Linked DNA regions of Styela clava. The protein of the gene in region 1 interacts with the protein of each later gene in a pairwise test. Links are inferred from orthologs where the notes say so. Each region holds a gene or a part of one and is shown in the gene's direction. Other genes may lie near its edges.

Region 1 (6,850 bases):
AAAGCTGAACACGACCCGAAACCGCCTGAAGGCGTTATAAAATACCACGAAATGTTCTTTAATTTTCTTTATTTTATAACAGTGTAGTAAAGGCTAAATTTGTCTCGAAACCTCTAAGTGACTTTAAAACATTTGCTTGAATTATTTATTCGGCCATTTAACGAAAGCCTAAAACAAGGAATGACGCACACTGGTAAAAATCTCAAGTTGATAGAAAGTCACTGTCACTTGCACAATTGGTCGCGTGGTTTTACGTTTACGGCACGAACGGGTATTATCAGCTAATGATGCATGCGAACTACCGCACCAGCAACCATGGTTGGGAATAGGGAAGGATATATGACGTCATTCGACATTTGAATGGCCTGCATTGCAGAGGGCTATTGGGCTGACATATAGATAGCATGTTAGGAATACCGATGGATATATGGTCGCAGAGGCAATTCGAGGGGGCTCTTCAGCATTCATATTCATATTTGGCATTCATATAGACAGCTGATAAGGTATAGATATATGATCCCTATCGGCATGTGAATGGCCTACTACGAGAATGGCCTGTCGTACATATAACAGGTATGGCTTATAGCGTATCTACACTAGTACTAGTTTTAAAACGACAATGTTCTTTCAGTTTCTTTTTTTTATCATTTTGTTTAATAGTTTCAAATGGAAAATCTTAATCAATGTGCACACGGACCGACCTACTTACGTTTCTTATAAGGGCTCGCATTTCCCTTCTACTCCAAAGTCTTCCTTATTTATTCTATATCGTGTTATGTGGTGGCATTTGGACCACAGATTTTCAGAGATTTTTTTAATTACGTTCAACACGCTAACTATTCGTTGTCTGTCAACCAGAGCTTGTTCAAACTGGCAAAAGCATAATTTTCATTTACTTGTGAATTTTTATTAAATTCCTGTATTTTTCAAAGTAAACAATTGACTGCGTTCATATCAGTCCACAAGACGCTAATTTTAGAGTCAATGCCAAACAATTCGAGGTAAATACGTCGACTAAAACATCGTATGGTTCAATACGCTAACTATCTGCAAGCTATGGCTAGAGCAATTTTTATTTACGTGTGAATTTTTCATGAATATCATGTATTATTTGAAGTAAATAAACAGCTATATTTGAAGAAAAGGGGCATGAGCACGCTGATTGAGTTCATGCTAGAAGTAGTAGGAGAGACTAGCTTTAGAGCAATGTCGAAGAGTTTAAAAAAAGAAATTGAAATGACAGGCAGTCGATGGATTTTTTACTTTAGTATCTAATCGTCGCGTCTGGATATTGAAGCCTAAAAAGGAAAGTTTTCAAGGAAAAGTCGGTAAATCAAAGCCGAATCATAAGATATGATAAATATTTTATTTAACCCCTCAAATAGGTCGGCATAAACGACGACTTAGAAAATAGACTGAGCGATGTTGTCGTAGTGGGATCTAATAGACAAATCCAGGGGAGGTCGCTACGCTACCCGCGAGGGGAAATTGTATAGAATTATTTTTAGTAAATTAGGAAGCAGATGTTTGTTTAAAGTTTGTTGGAGGGCACGGGTCGTTGCGCCGGACAATTGACGGGAATTCGTCCGGCGCTCTGCCTCCGACCCCTCTAGTCCATTAAGAAGTTCAGATACCACGTAATAAACTGATCACCCCTAACCGGAGTCGAATTCTTCCAATTTTAAGGTCCGTGATCACTCAACCGTGACGAATTTTTTTTACATAAACTAGACCTCAACTATCTTGTATGGCCCAAATATGACATCTCACCCTTTTACCATTCTCGAGATATAACGTAAAATCACTGGAGCGTGACTGAGGAGCTGAAGAAAAAAAAATTCTTTTAAAATGGATTCGAATAATTTTTCTAAACATGCCCATGTCTTTACTTTCTTAATAAGTTCCTTCAGAGGCCTGCAATGAGCCAAAATCACTAAAGCGTGACTGCGGAGTAGGAAAAAAAAATTTTATTCAAAAAAATGTTAAACTAATTTTTCCAACCATAGTTAACTTATTTTATTTCTCAATAGCTCCATTTTAAGAGCGCAACCTTTTTACGCCACTGGAGGTCGATTGGGAGGGGGAAACACCGATTTTCTAGTAAAGAAAATTTCATTTAATTATACCTTTGAGAATTACGCAAATCTTTGCCCAAAACCCCAAGCTAAACGGCCTCTGAACCCCAAAATCACTCTAGCGTGACTGACTGACAGCTTGATTAGCCAATGACAGGTCCCAGTCCCTTAAAAGCCCGTTTTGGCCCATTTCCTATGGCCTGATCGTTCTGAAAAATTTTCTGTGTTAGTTTGGTAACTGCCCCCCGCTACATGCCAAGTTTCAACTGTTTGACAAACGGTGCTGCAACATCCAGTCCTTTTCAAAAGTAGTAATAATTCACATATTGCGTCTGCTTGTACATGGCCTTGTTTGGAGTGAAAAGCATCGTATGACAATCGATGTCTTGATAGGATGAGTTGATTTTTTTCCATCGTTGTAAACTGTTTGTCTGAGGAAGTCTGACCTTGATCATTTCATAATTTTAAATTCCAGCTCAAACCCGACAAATTCAAATCTGCGTTACATTTTCCTTTTCAAATATAAAAACTTTTAAACAGGTAAATAAATTAACAATTCCGTTCCAAATGCGGATTCTATAACAGTAAATAAATTAACATTTTACGGACGACTTCGAATTGAAACCTCAGGGAATATATCCGACGTGGTTCTCAATACCTATTAGTCATATTTTCAGTATCAATTGTGCGAAACATATTAAAATTGAAACCTATTTTCACTGTTCACGTTTTTAATGTGTTTTTCGGATTTTCTGTGGCTTACTAACTGGTTCGTTTATTACGCCCTGTAGAGTAGACTGTAGAGCAGGGGTCGGCAACCTACGGCCAGCGGGCCAGATCCTGCCCGCGGAGTAATATAATCCGGCCCGTGACGTTTCACTGAATATTAGTAACAAAACAGCTGTTTTGATGAAGCCATTTTATACGTAACAGAATTTATTGTGAGACACGTGTAGACTAAATTATATTATAATCTAACAAGTATATAATTCACAATTACTCGTTTCATGAGCCTAAAATTTAATTATGATTAGACAAATGACAAACAAAAATTGATGCTAAGTGCGAAGGGAGCAATGGCGCCGAAAATATTCAAATGGAACTTTTTGAGATGCAATGAAACGAATTTATATTTTCTCGAGAGATGTATCACTGCTTGATTTTTATTATAAAAAGTATCATCAGTTCGGTTCACAATTTTCTAAAGATATGTGCGGCCCGCCAATGACTTGCAACCTTCAATTTTGGCCCGCAAGCAACAAAAGGTTGCCGACCCCTGCTGTAGAGCATGGGTGGGCAAGGTTTTTGGACAATATTCTGGCAAGCCTATTGCACCATACAGATTTCAATAACAATAATTGGTTAAAAGCGATAATTTATGACAACATCAGGCAGGCCAGATCGAACCACCCAAGGTGCTGGATTTGACCCGCGGGTTGTAGTTTGCCCATGTCAGCTGTGTCAGTAGATGAAGCAGTGAGTCTAATACATACAGTACTTCTAGCCGAAAGTGTTTGTGAATAGGATATGTCAGTTAGTTGTCTTTATACTTTTGCTACACTATCCTCGCATTGTACGGATCCACCAGTGCAAAAGCATAAAAGAAGAATAGTTGAATCACTGATCAGTATATCATAGTTATTTGTCATTGTTCTCGTTAAATCTATGTCTTGCAACCATTTACAAGAACAAATTGCAAAAATAACCCAAACCATCGCTTTATTGCTAATATATGAATGAAATTTTGTTTGCAGAATATTTATTTATAATCTAAGTGGTATTTACGTCCGAATAAATTTTATGGAATCACTGTTGCTACGTAACTAGTGACGTCATCAAATAGAATATATGACGTCACAACTATCTGCTTCGACCATAGCAAGCCTGGAAACACCGGCCGTGAAACCCAGGTAGGTGGTTGATTAGTTTGCTCAAAGATAGATTTGCTAAAAACACTGAATTATTGGAAGGAAAACGACATTCGGTATAAAATTTTCCCGCAGTTCTCAAACTTTCAGAAGACGGATTTTCAAAAGTACAGACGCTCGTAAAATATGTTTTACGAATTCGCACGAACCGAATTATCAAATAATTTTGAAAAATTAACATGCCAATAAAAATTCTGGTATAATACAATTTTATAAATTCGGTATAAATCTGCGGCTAATTATCTAATTCAAGGGACATTTTAGGGTACTCCTGTAGTATGCGAACTAAGATGGCGGGCGCCGGACGTAGTATGTTAGGGTTAGGCCAATAATTTCATTCCAATTATTCTTAATTTGGTTTTATTACGAGTTCGGGACTAGCCAAGTGACTCCTGTAGTATTTGTATCTGAAAATATAGCCTAATCTGGTACATATACTACGTTTCGGTGTCCGCCATCTTGGTTCAATACTACGGGAGTACCCATTTTAGTCTTGATAATAATATTATCCTAAGACAACAGCAACGTTAAACCGGGTAGGTCATATTCCCAGACTTGGTCTGGTCTGAAAACCGAGCGAGAAGACTTCATTTGTCATATAAATAAGCCGTTTTATCGGATTTCTGTTCCTTCTTTATTAATATAGAAACACTTATATTTTATTCTTCCATGCTTACAGAGCCTCAAAACAAGTTCAAAAAGCGAACAAAACCCAAAAACCCAATGGTGAGCCAGAAAGTATTCCTATGCTTCGCATACGCACGGATGGTGTAAGTTACGGAAGCGGAAGTTCAGGGTCAAGTGATCAAAGATTAAAGGTCAACGGGAAGTTTCCTTCAATGGATAGCGGAGTTTCGAACCGATATCGAAGCACTGAATCAGAAGGATCTAGTCCAGGTAACTTTTAGACGTTACTTCATCTATTTGGCTTTGTAGAAATTTCGACAACGATATAATAATAATAATGTATAATTCTTTCAAAAAGGATTACGTCATCGCAAATTTATCTCCTGTGGCGTTTCATTCAAAAGAATATTACTGACGTTATTGGTAAAGACCCAATAAATGTGAAAAATAACTGTAATAAAAGTACCAAGATTGCTGATTATGAAAATTTGGCAATAATTAAGAATCAGTTTTTCGTTCAAATATTTTGTTCACGATTTTATTTTAAAATCGCATATTCAATGTCTACCAACAAGAGCGTAGTTAATGCCGTTTTTTATATATATATATATATCTCACAGTAGAATTTAACTCACACTGCATTAACCGTTTAATTTTATCCGGTTAACGGTTAAAGTGTTTTCCCTGAAATTACCAGCCCTAACCCTAACCTGGTTCACACACTAAGGGAGTACCCTATTATGTTATGGGACAGAATGTTTTGGTCCGCCATATCTTGTCAAACTCTGGTTGTGGTAGTGCGCTCTTTGACATTGAAGCTTTAATCTTGGCCATCCACTTGCTAAGCCGAACACGCAAACCACCATGTAACCGCCGAGTCTTTTAGTGTCTGATTTTTAAAAAGTAGGAGTATTACTAACATCCGAATAATACCATAGTCGTGCTTATGGTTCCCCATATGATTAAACTATTCGACATCATATTAGAATGTGTTCGGTTCATCTTGGGATAATATGACTCCCACATAACGACAGCGTAAGCACGCCTAAAATTATACAAACACGGTCGATGCTATGTAGCGTTAAAAAGTCTTTTTGTCTAAATTTAATATATTTATCTCGTTTGGATCAAACTTTCGAATTTTGGAAAACCGTACGACAGTAGCCATCTCGAAAGCCTGCGTAAAACGCCATTAACATACTCAATGTCATATTGTATCATCATTGTAAGAGTGTCGTTTATCCGATTTCTTCTACTCAACATTCTGAGAAATTGTATTTCTCGCTCGGTTGATCTCATTAATTATGTTTTATTCATTTTATTTGCCGGGATCTTAAATTACACGGATGATTGCCATGTTTTCACGCTCTGTTGATTGCCAATCCATAACTTCCTCGGGAGGCGTTAGCTTGTAATTGTTTCATCACAGGTCTAATGAAAAGATCTGAAGTGACGTAACAATGTGGTTGTTCACGGTCGTCTTCTCAATCTAACAAGATTAGACTTATGAAGAACCGCACATTCTCGTACAAAACCAAAATTTCGAATCAATAAAGATGGATTTTACGGAAATTTTGAAGCCTTTCATGAATAAATTGTCGCGTTAAAATCGTGTTATGTTGCGGTTATAACCGGAAAAATTCTCGTTCTTGGTATTTATTAAAAGCTATTGAAATAAATACCAACATGAAGCTTAGAATTATTCTAAGTGTAATATTTGTTGAATCGGTAGGATCCGTTGACGGATACAGAAGTCTCTTGACAGCAGTAACATATTCTATCAATTGAGTTTCAACTATGGGGCAAACTACTGATCTTTTTTTGCTTTTCCGCTGGTGGGTCGGTATGCGTATGTCAAGGATGTTGCAATATATCTAGCCAATTCCCGACTCATCAACTATAGTTTTGACCTAGTTTTGATTCTTATCTTTATTCATCTTTCACTCCTTTCCTTCAGCTTCTTTTCTTCGTTGTCTCCGTGCTTTGGATGACGTACTTGAAGGTATGACGTCATTAGTGTTACGAAATCATTCTTGATTTTTCGAATATTCTAATAATTTTATTCCTATTTTGATTTGTTTGATGTGTTTGCTCGATTTTCATGCTTGAATAATTTTAATAACTTCACATTGACATTTGCATCAATTTTATGAAATTCTGAGTCAGTATTTGCACGCGCAAAAGTTCGAATTAAAAAATTAATAAAAATAAAATTTGGGC
Region 2 (7,478 bases), about 16 Mb from region 1:
GCCCGTAGGGATTTCAATTATCAACCGTCACCATCGGGATTTTGACATATTTTTATTTTGGAAGCTTGCATCATTGGAGAAACAGTCAACAGTCGGTAATAGCCTCATTGGTAATAACTGTGTGATAACAAATAGAGCTATGAAGATATCTGGCGAAGATGCACAATATTTCGCTTAGAAAGATTCGAGTCAGAAGTTTTGAAACGGTGCAAGAAAACTTGAAGCTATTCTTCGCCTCGCTCATTCGTTTTTCTTTATATATCGGCAATAAATGTTTGTGCTATTTCCAGTAAGAGGCCCCTAAAAATCGGTCGTTAGGGTAATCTCTTTATGTTTAAAATATTGATCTTCCAAGCGTTCAAGATTCACGTTATTTCAGAGTTCGTTTATTGTGATGTATACAGTTAATTTACAGTTTATACGAGAGTTTACTTTACATTACCATAATAATTAGAATGTGAGAGGCAGTTTTTATGAGCTTAACGCATAATTAAATAGTTGAGCGGAATAAATTTAATTGTTCGGAACTGTTTGATGAAAATACTCAGCTTCCTATTATGGTCGTTGAGTTACAAATTAACAGTGTTTTTTCAATATGAAACCATGGAAAATCAATTTATTAGTGCAGTATGACCCTATAGATAGGGCTATGTATGAATAGGCGAGGCCCATTCTTGCTTCCGTCTTAGATAACATGAAGAACGCTATCGATGTACATCGCGGCCTACTTTGGACGTTTGAAATCTCTGTGAACTAATATGAACTCTTTTCTGTCAATGTTTTTCCTAATTAAATTCTACCCCACAGAGACTTGTGAATTCCGCTTAATTAAATCGCATTTGTTTTACGTTCATTAATCACAATCGGTAGTTGGTATTGCTCGCTGTTGGGGTAATTGTTTAGTAATGCATTTCTGATCACTGTTATCCATCAGCTCGAATTGACAATTAATAGTACAAGTATGTCGTTAATATTCTTTTTTAAATTATTTGTTTTACTGCCAGTAATTTGTGAAAACCAAATAACATAATATTCTGCAGGCAGCCCGATCAGATTTGAATGGAGCTCATTTCTTTAATATGTAATGTTGCAAATTCTTAGCATGACAATTTTTCCAAATAAATATATAATATATATATATACGGTGACCGTACATTTGAACCCACGTACATTTGAACCCATGTGTATATCCGCGGGTTCAATCTATATGCGGATGCGAAAACCCATGGGTTAGTGTTAGTATGGGTTCAAATATTCGTAAAACAAAAACAAAAAATTCCATAGGTGCAATAGTATGCAGGTGCAATTGTCGTGAATTCAAATGTATGTGGGTTCAAATGTAATGGAACCATATATACACTATTCATTCTGAAACCAAAAAAAAAGCTATATACAGACCGAACTAATTTTGAATGATCTCGAATGTTCAATCTATGTTTGCATGAAAAGAGACGGATTTAAATAAAATTTGATAAGTTTTTTCTCCGCCGCACATAGCAAAATTGTCTGCAATGGCAAGCAATTTTTGATGTCCCGTTGTTCATGCTATTTTTTTTTTGTATATTATTCATTTTTATTCATTTTTTGCTCAGTGTATAACATAATTTGTATTTTTACACGTGTACGTCTCGAAATATTAGTTTTGATACGCTACTCATCAGCAGGTATTTTAGTTGACTTGTCTTCGTTATTACACTCGCATCCGGTTTGAAACATTATGAGAAAGATCAGTGTATAAACAAGGTCCTATATCTTGAAACATAATAATACTGAAATTATATTTACTATACGTTCTTTCGCAAAGTTTCTATGGTCTTTAGGGATTTCTCAGCACATGCGCCGCGCTCACGCCTTCGCTAAATGCGTCCGTAGTGGGATATGATGACGCAAATAACATCGCAGAATTAATCCCTGATAAGATTCCGCCGGTAGAATACATTATACTCTGGAATTTAAAACTCTACGATTACAAATTGTACATTCTGAAGGTGCGAAAAAACACCACATCCTATTAAAAGCACCAATGACGTCGTGTAGATTTTACCGGAGAGCGATCCGGCTGGCCCAGCTTTTTTTCTTCGATTGATTATATTGCAATTGAACAGTTTCAGCCATTGTGATTTGTCAGCTAACGCTCTTGAGTGGAAGTGGAAACAATTGTTCAGTGCTAAAACTAGTCCAATGATTATTTTGAAGTGGCGAAAACACTGAGAATTTTGTAATGTACTATAGCGTGATTCTATCTTAAATTCTGTAATTAATTGAATATAAAATCGACGATAATGTTGATCACATTTTCCGATTACTGGATAAAAAAGTGTGCCCATAATGTACATAAAATACTTATTTCCAATTGGCTTATTGATGAATAACGTGATATATGTCGAGTCTATACAATCATTTATTATTGAATTACTTTTGGAATATGATTTCTAAGTCAAAGAAAAGAATTTTATAACTACAAAAGTACATATGTTTAATAGGTTTGGACAAATTTGAATCTGTGGATTCTAAATAGATTTTACAATCACGCTCTGCTTAATTCTCATATTGACGATAGTAGATTGAAGTAATCTTCTTTTAGAAAGATATTTCTTAAACAACATAGAAAGACTACAGATGTTGAAATACTATGGAAAAGCAAAATAGCATCCACTTAACCCATTCACATTTATGATTTCTATTTATAAATGCAGATTCTAATTTGCCCCATTGAATATCAATTTTAATCGACGTATATTAATCGTTTGTCGTGGGTATATTACAAACTTGACTTAATCTACCCTTTACAAATGAGAGAGATTACTTAGTTTAATTTAATTCTCATCATTAAATGAATTTAAATTTTACTTGTTTTAATATTAGGAAATACATTATTTTTCCGATTTTGAAGGATTGGTCTACAAATATGACTTCTAGAAATGTATGATCTGCTTAATGTATGATGTAAGGCTCGTTAATGAATATTAAGTGATTATTTCTTCAAGGCTCAGAAATAAACTGAAAACGATAATCTAATTTGTAGCTGTCTGCCTGAATGAAGGAGTATCTTTTTCTAGAACAGTCTACGCATTATGATCTTATATGGCAATGACCACATCCCAATATTTCTACGTAAGTGAACATGGAGATATCCGCCGATGCAGAACCGCCCGTTTCTGGCATCCCTGGAAGCATGGGCGAGACATAATACCTTTACGGGGAGTATTTATTACTAAGATGCATGATTTGAAATATGTTATTTTGAGGTGTAGCCAACCATGTGCAAGAGCTTTGTGTCGCCTGTGTATAGGTTAGGAACTTGGACTATTGCATTGGCTATGTGCTGTTCAAGTATACTTGAGGAAAGTTCGGTTAATCAAAGTAGATTCAAATAAGTTATAGTTCTGTTGTTCAAATAAATTATCATGATATTGTATTTGATAAAAATCCAACGAATTTTTGTTCAAATATTAAATTCATCTCGACGGGAAAAATGAACATAAAATATGATATTGCCCAGCGGGGGAAGGAACTTGATGCTATACTTTCGATATCGCTATTGATGCTAAACCTTCGATGTTATATCTCGATGAACTTGATGCTATTCGACATCGCTAATATACAAATATCTTCATTTGTTTTTCTCAGGCGGCATATATTCACTAGCTTTCTAATAATATTTTTATGTTTATTGTGTGTGAGCTCTTAATAACTGGTATCGCTTTTAGTCAAAGTCATGTTGACTGTTTCCTATAGGAAAGGTGATAAGAAGTGCGAAAACAAAATGCAATTTCACAATTCCAGTTTTCACGTTCCGTTTAAAATTCGGCAAGCGCACGTGTCCCTAGTCTGGTCACGTTGGTCTGATAGGCTAATTCAAGTTAATCCAAAAAGGGGAGGAGGACAGTAGAACATTTAAAATTTTGTTTTGTGCTTGTTGGCGGTGGAGGGCGTTTACGTTTGTAGACGTCATATCAGATGACGTCATTGTTTTGATAGGCAATTTGCCCATAACTGTTTTATCATCGCATTTCGAATTATTTTGATAAAAATTCTGAAATAGAATTTTATATCTATACACGAAGATGAATTTACGAATACAATTGAGTGGATTACCTAGCTCACTTTTCCCAAATTTACCTAAAATAATAATCATATCCCTCAAAACTTCTAACGACAATCTATTTCATCGATCTTCGTGATTCAAATTTATAATATTGTGATAAAAAGTGCAAAAAAGAAATTTTTATTTACTTTATACCCTGCCGAATATTTCTCGTGTATAGTATACACTGACGGGTGATGAGAAATTGCAAATATATAATTGAAAAGCACTTTCAGATGCTTCGTAACGACCTGAAGGTCATTCCAATTACGTGTGAAGTGGTAGCAAGAAACGTATTCATTTCCGCCCAAGCGACTAAACGCTATATAAAATGCTTCTAAACCCAACATTTTCATATATTATAGGAATGTGTAAGTTAGCTAGATTGTTGTTATAACTGACATATCATCTCAACAACTGGAAAACAGAGACGACAAGCCTCCGATATTTATTTGATCTGAACTAAAGCAAAGAAACGACTTGTTCGCGACTCCACTCGAATTTTAGCGGAATTCACTCAACTCGTGCAAGCACACGCAATCAAACGCTATAAAACCATTGATTGTGCACTGAACCGTAGATTTTTTCGTTTATATATATAGCTAACAAAAGGCGCGATGAATAGCATTGGTGAAGTCAGTTCAGGCGGAGAGTTCTACGACGACGAAGAGATGCCGGCTACCGAAAGGGAACTGGCGGAAGATGCTCCTTGGAAGCAAATCCAGAAGAATACTTTTACCAGGTGGTGTAACGAGCATCTAAAATGTGTTAACAAGCGTTTGGGAAGCTTGGAGACGGATTTATCCGATGGTTTGAGGCTGATTAGCCTCCTGGAAGTACTATCCCAGAAAAGAATGGATAAGTACAACAAGAGGCCTAATTTCAGGCAAATGAAGCTGGAAAACGTTTCCGTGGCGTTGAAATTTTTGGAAAGAGAGAGAATCAAGCTTGTTAGCATTGGTAAGCATTTTTTTAAACAATTTAACGACTCAAAAAGCCGTATTACAGTATTATGAAAATTAGTAGCATTTTTATTACAGTAACATAATACTTCACACCATGTTCTGGCGTGGTGATGTATTTGCGCCTCACCGAGTATTCCCAAAACCTGTATGATTGTGTAACTGGGCTGCCGAGGAGTCTCAAATAATTTTGCGTCCCATGCAATGAAAATATAGCAAACGTAATGCTTCATTGCGTCTGTTAACGCTCACCATAACAGAAACAACAATTAAACCAATTGCACTAAGGCCTTGCGGAAATGATTTGTCACTAGTCTGTTAGGCGAGAAGGCCTTTACACATCTCTGATATAAAATTTACAAAACAACACGTATTTCACTCAGAATGCAAGTCAACACTACTAGGAAACGACTGCCAAGTTTTATGCAAACGATGGAACCACATCAATATTGTCAGCGTAGCGTATGTTTGGCTCAGGTTGGGCGGCATTTAAAAATCACTGGGGCTCTGAATGCGAACATTATTCGTACTTTATTTTGTTAAAAAAATCACGTCAGGTTACAAATTTGGGCGTTGAAGTTCATAGCCGGAGGCGCCGGTCACAATTTATTATTAGCGGCATGCGCACTCGTTCAATCATTCTAGCCATAGAAATACCGATACATTACCGCTAACAGAGGGGAATAAAATGAGACTGGTTTGGCCAATGATACACCTACCGTTCAAAAGTACTGAGCAAATCATTTTTAAGTATGCTTAGATTCTATAAAAACATATCAGTGCAGTATTTAAATGCTGGTAAACAATATGACAACGCTCTGCACGCTCGTTTTTGCGCTTGAAATCCATGTGATATGAAGCCTATCTTATTTTAATACTGGTTCTCGCTGTTGTTGTTGTAATTGAAATTTTCGTATAAGCTCCATTTAATGGCGACAATGCATACAAGATCATTAATTCGTTTGTCGTCTGTTTTCTTCGCTCGAAGACACATTGGCATTGCTCACGTCTTGCGCTGTGCGTAATAAAGTATAATGCATCACCTCAGCCCATTGATCATGTCATAAAATTGTATTTCATTCTGAAACTCTTAAAACGAACTCTTAAACGAACTCAATCGTAAACATCGTGAATAATGTCTGACTAACGGAATTTCATTTATTGCCTATTTACAGCGCTCGATTGGCTACGAAGGTGCGTTCATTTTCGGTCCATGCGTGAGTTTGTGAGAATAAAAACCCAGCCATTCTTTACAACGCAAAGCCAAATTGGATTGATATCCTCAGCTGGTGGTCAATTACGCTTCCAAGAATGTTGATTTGTGATTGTTATTAGATTTGAATCAAGCTGCGCGCACACTGTATAGTTCCCATACATTGTAGATCATTCTTTTAAATTGCCGGCGACAGTAGGATAAAAACTTTGATATGCACGTAAACATACGGATAAGATTTTTGTTTTCGAGCATAAATTCACGCAGACTGGTAATTTGTACATGATTAAGCGTAAAATGATATCTGACATTGAAAACAATTATAATATTTTAATCTAAATGTCATGTTTTACCGTTTAATACTATGTCATTTAGACCGGCTTATATAAACATAAAGCCATAATAAGCCGCTTGGGTTTAAGTATCAAGCTAAGGGCGATTGTGACAACTATCGAGTAGACAATGGCTTGAATATCGATTGTAGTATTGTACAAAATGAGCTAATCTTACTACGGCTTCTCGTTCTGTATATATGTTGACATTCAGTTTTGTTGGATTTTTTAAGTTTTGCTTTCACTTTTCCTTGTCGAGTACTATGGCTTTGCTGATGCAAACTTTACCCTTTTACTCTTGCCTACTGATCCATATAAAAGTATACATGACTTGACACACGAGGAGATGTTTTTAGCTTTTGATCTAAAGTCGAATACTTTTTTATTTACTATTATCGATGCGTACGATGTAAAAGTGTGGTAGAAATAGTCGCAGATTAAATTACCGAAAGATCTTTAATTTGTGGATTGGTTGATTTATTGCATCACTGGTTCTTCAGTGCATGGTCGGGCTTAATGCGTGGTATTCCGATTTGGAAGGCATGCGGAAGTTAACGCTTACGCCCTCGTGAAAACATTGCCATCACATCTTCTTTGGTCAGATATAAGTTGCTATAAATCAAACTTGTGTTATTTCCTTTCCGTTCTTAATCTGGAATAATTCAGTTTTGAACTTTCTACAAAAATAACGTCATATGAAATGACAACAAACGGACAGTAGATACACGTTGCAATGCAGGCATAAGATTACATCATGGCTCGATTTGAACCGAATACTCGCTGTCAAAATGTGCATATTGTTAAAGAATACTTTCCCCTGAATATTGCCGGTGACATTTCATTGTAACCTCATCATGTTTTAACTTGGCCATGCTTGATGACTG

Evidence for each region.
Region 2: the proteins of teneurin-3-like (region 1) and filamin-C-like interact in binary tests that used the Drosophila melanogaster proteins (3 or more experiments, as listed by UniProt). The link is inferred for Styela clava from reciprocal best matches to the Drosophila melanogaster genes Ten-m and cher.

What each region holds. Positions count from the first base shown.
Region 1 is NC_135263.1:226,492-233,341, reverse strand, and holds the start of teneurin-3-like, read left to right. Parts: upstream 1-3,838; 5' UTR 3,839-3,923; coding exon 3,924-3,985; intron 3,986-4,682; coding exon 4,683-4,900; intron 4,901-6,587; coding exon 6,588-6,632; intron 6,633-6,850. UniProt on the Drosophila melanogaster protein: Involved in neural development, regulating the establishment of proper connectivity within the nervous system. Acts as a homophilic and heterophilic synaptic cell adhesion molecule that drives synapse assembly.
Region 2 is NC_135263.1:16,706,118-16,713,595, reverse strand, and holds the start of filamin-C-like, read left to right. Parts: upstream 1-4,455; 5' UTR 4,456-4,704; coding exon 4,705-5,047; intron 5,048-7,478. UniProt on the Drosophila melanogaster protein: Involved in the germline ring canal formation. May tether actin microfilament within the ovarian ring canal to the cell membrane. Contributes to actin microfilaments organization.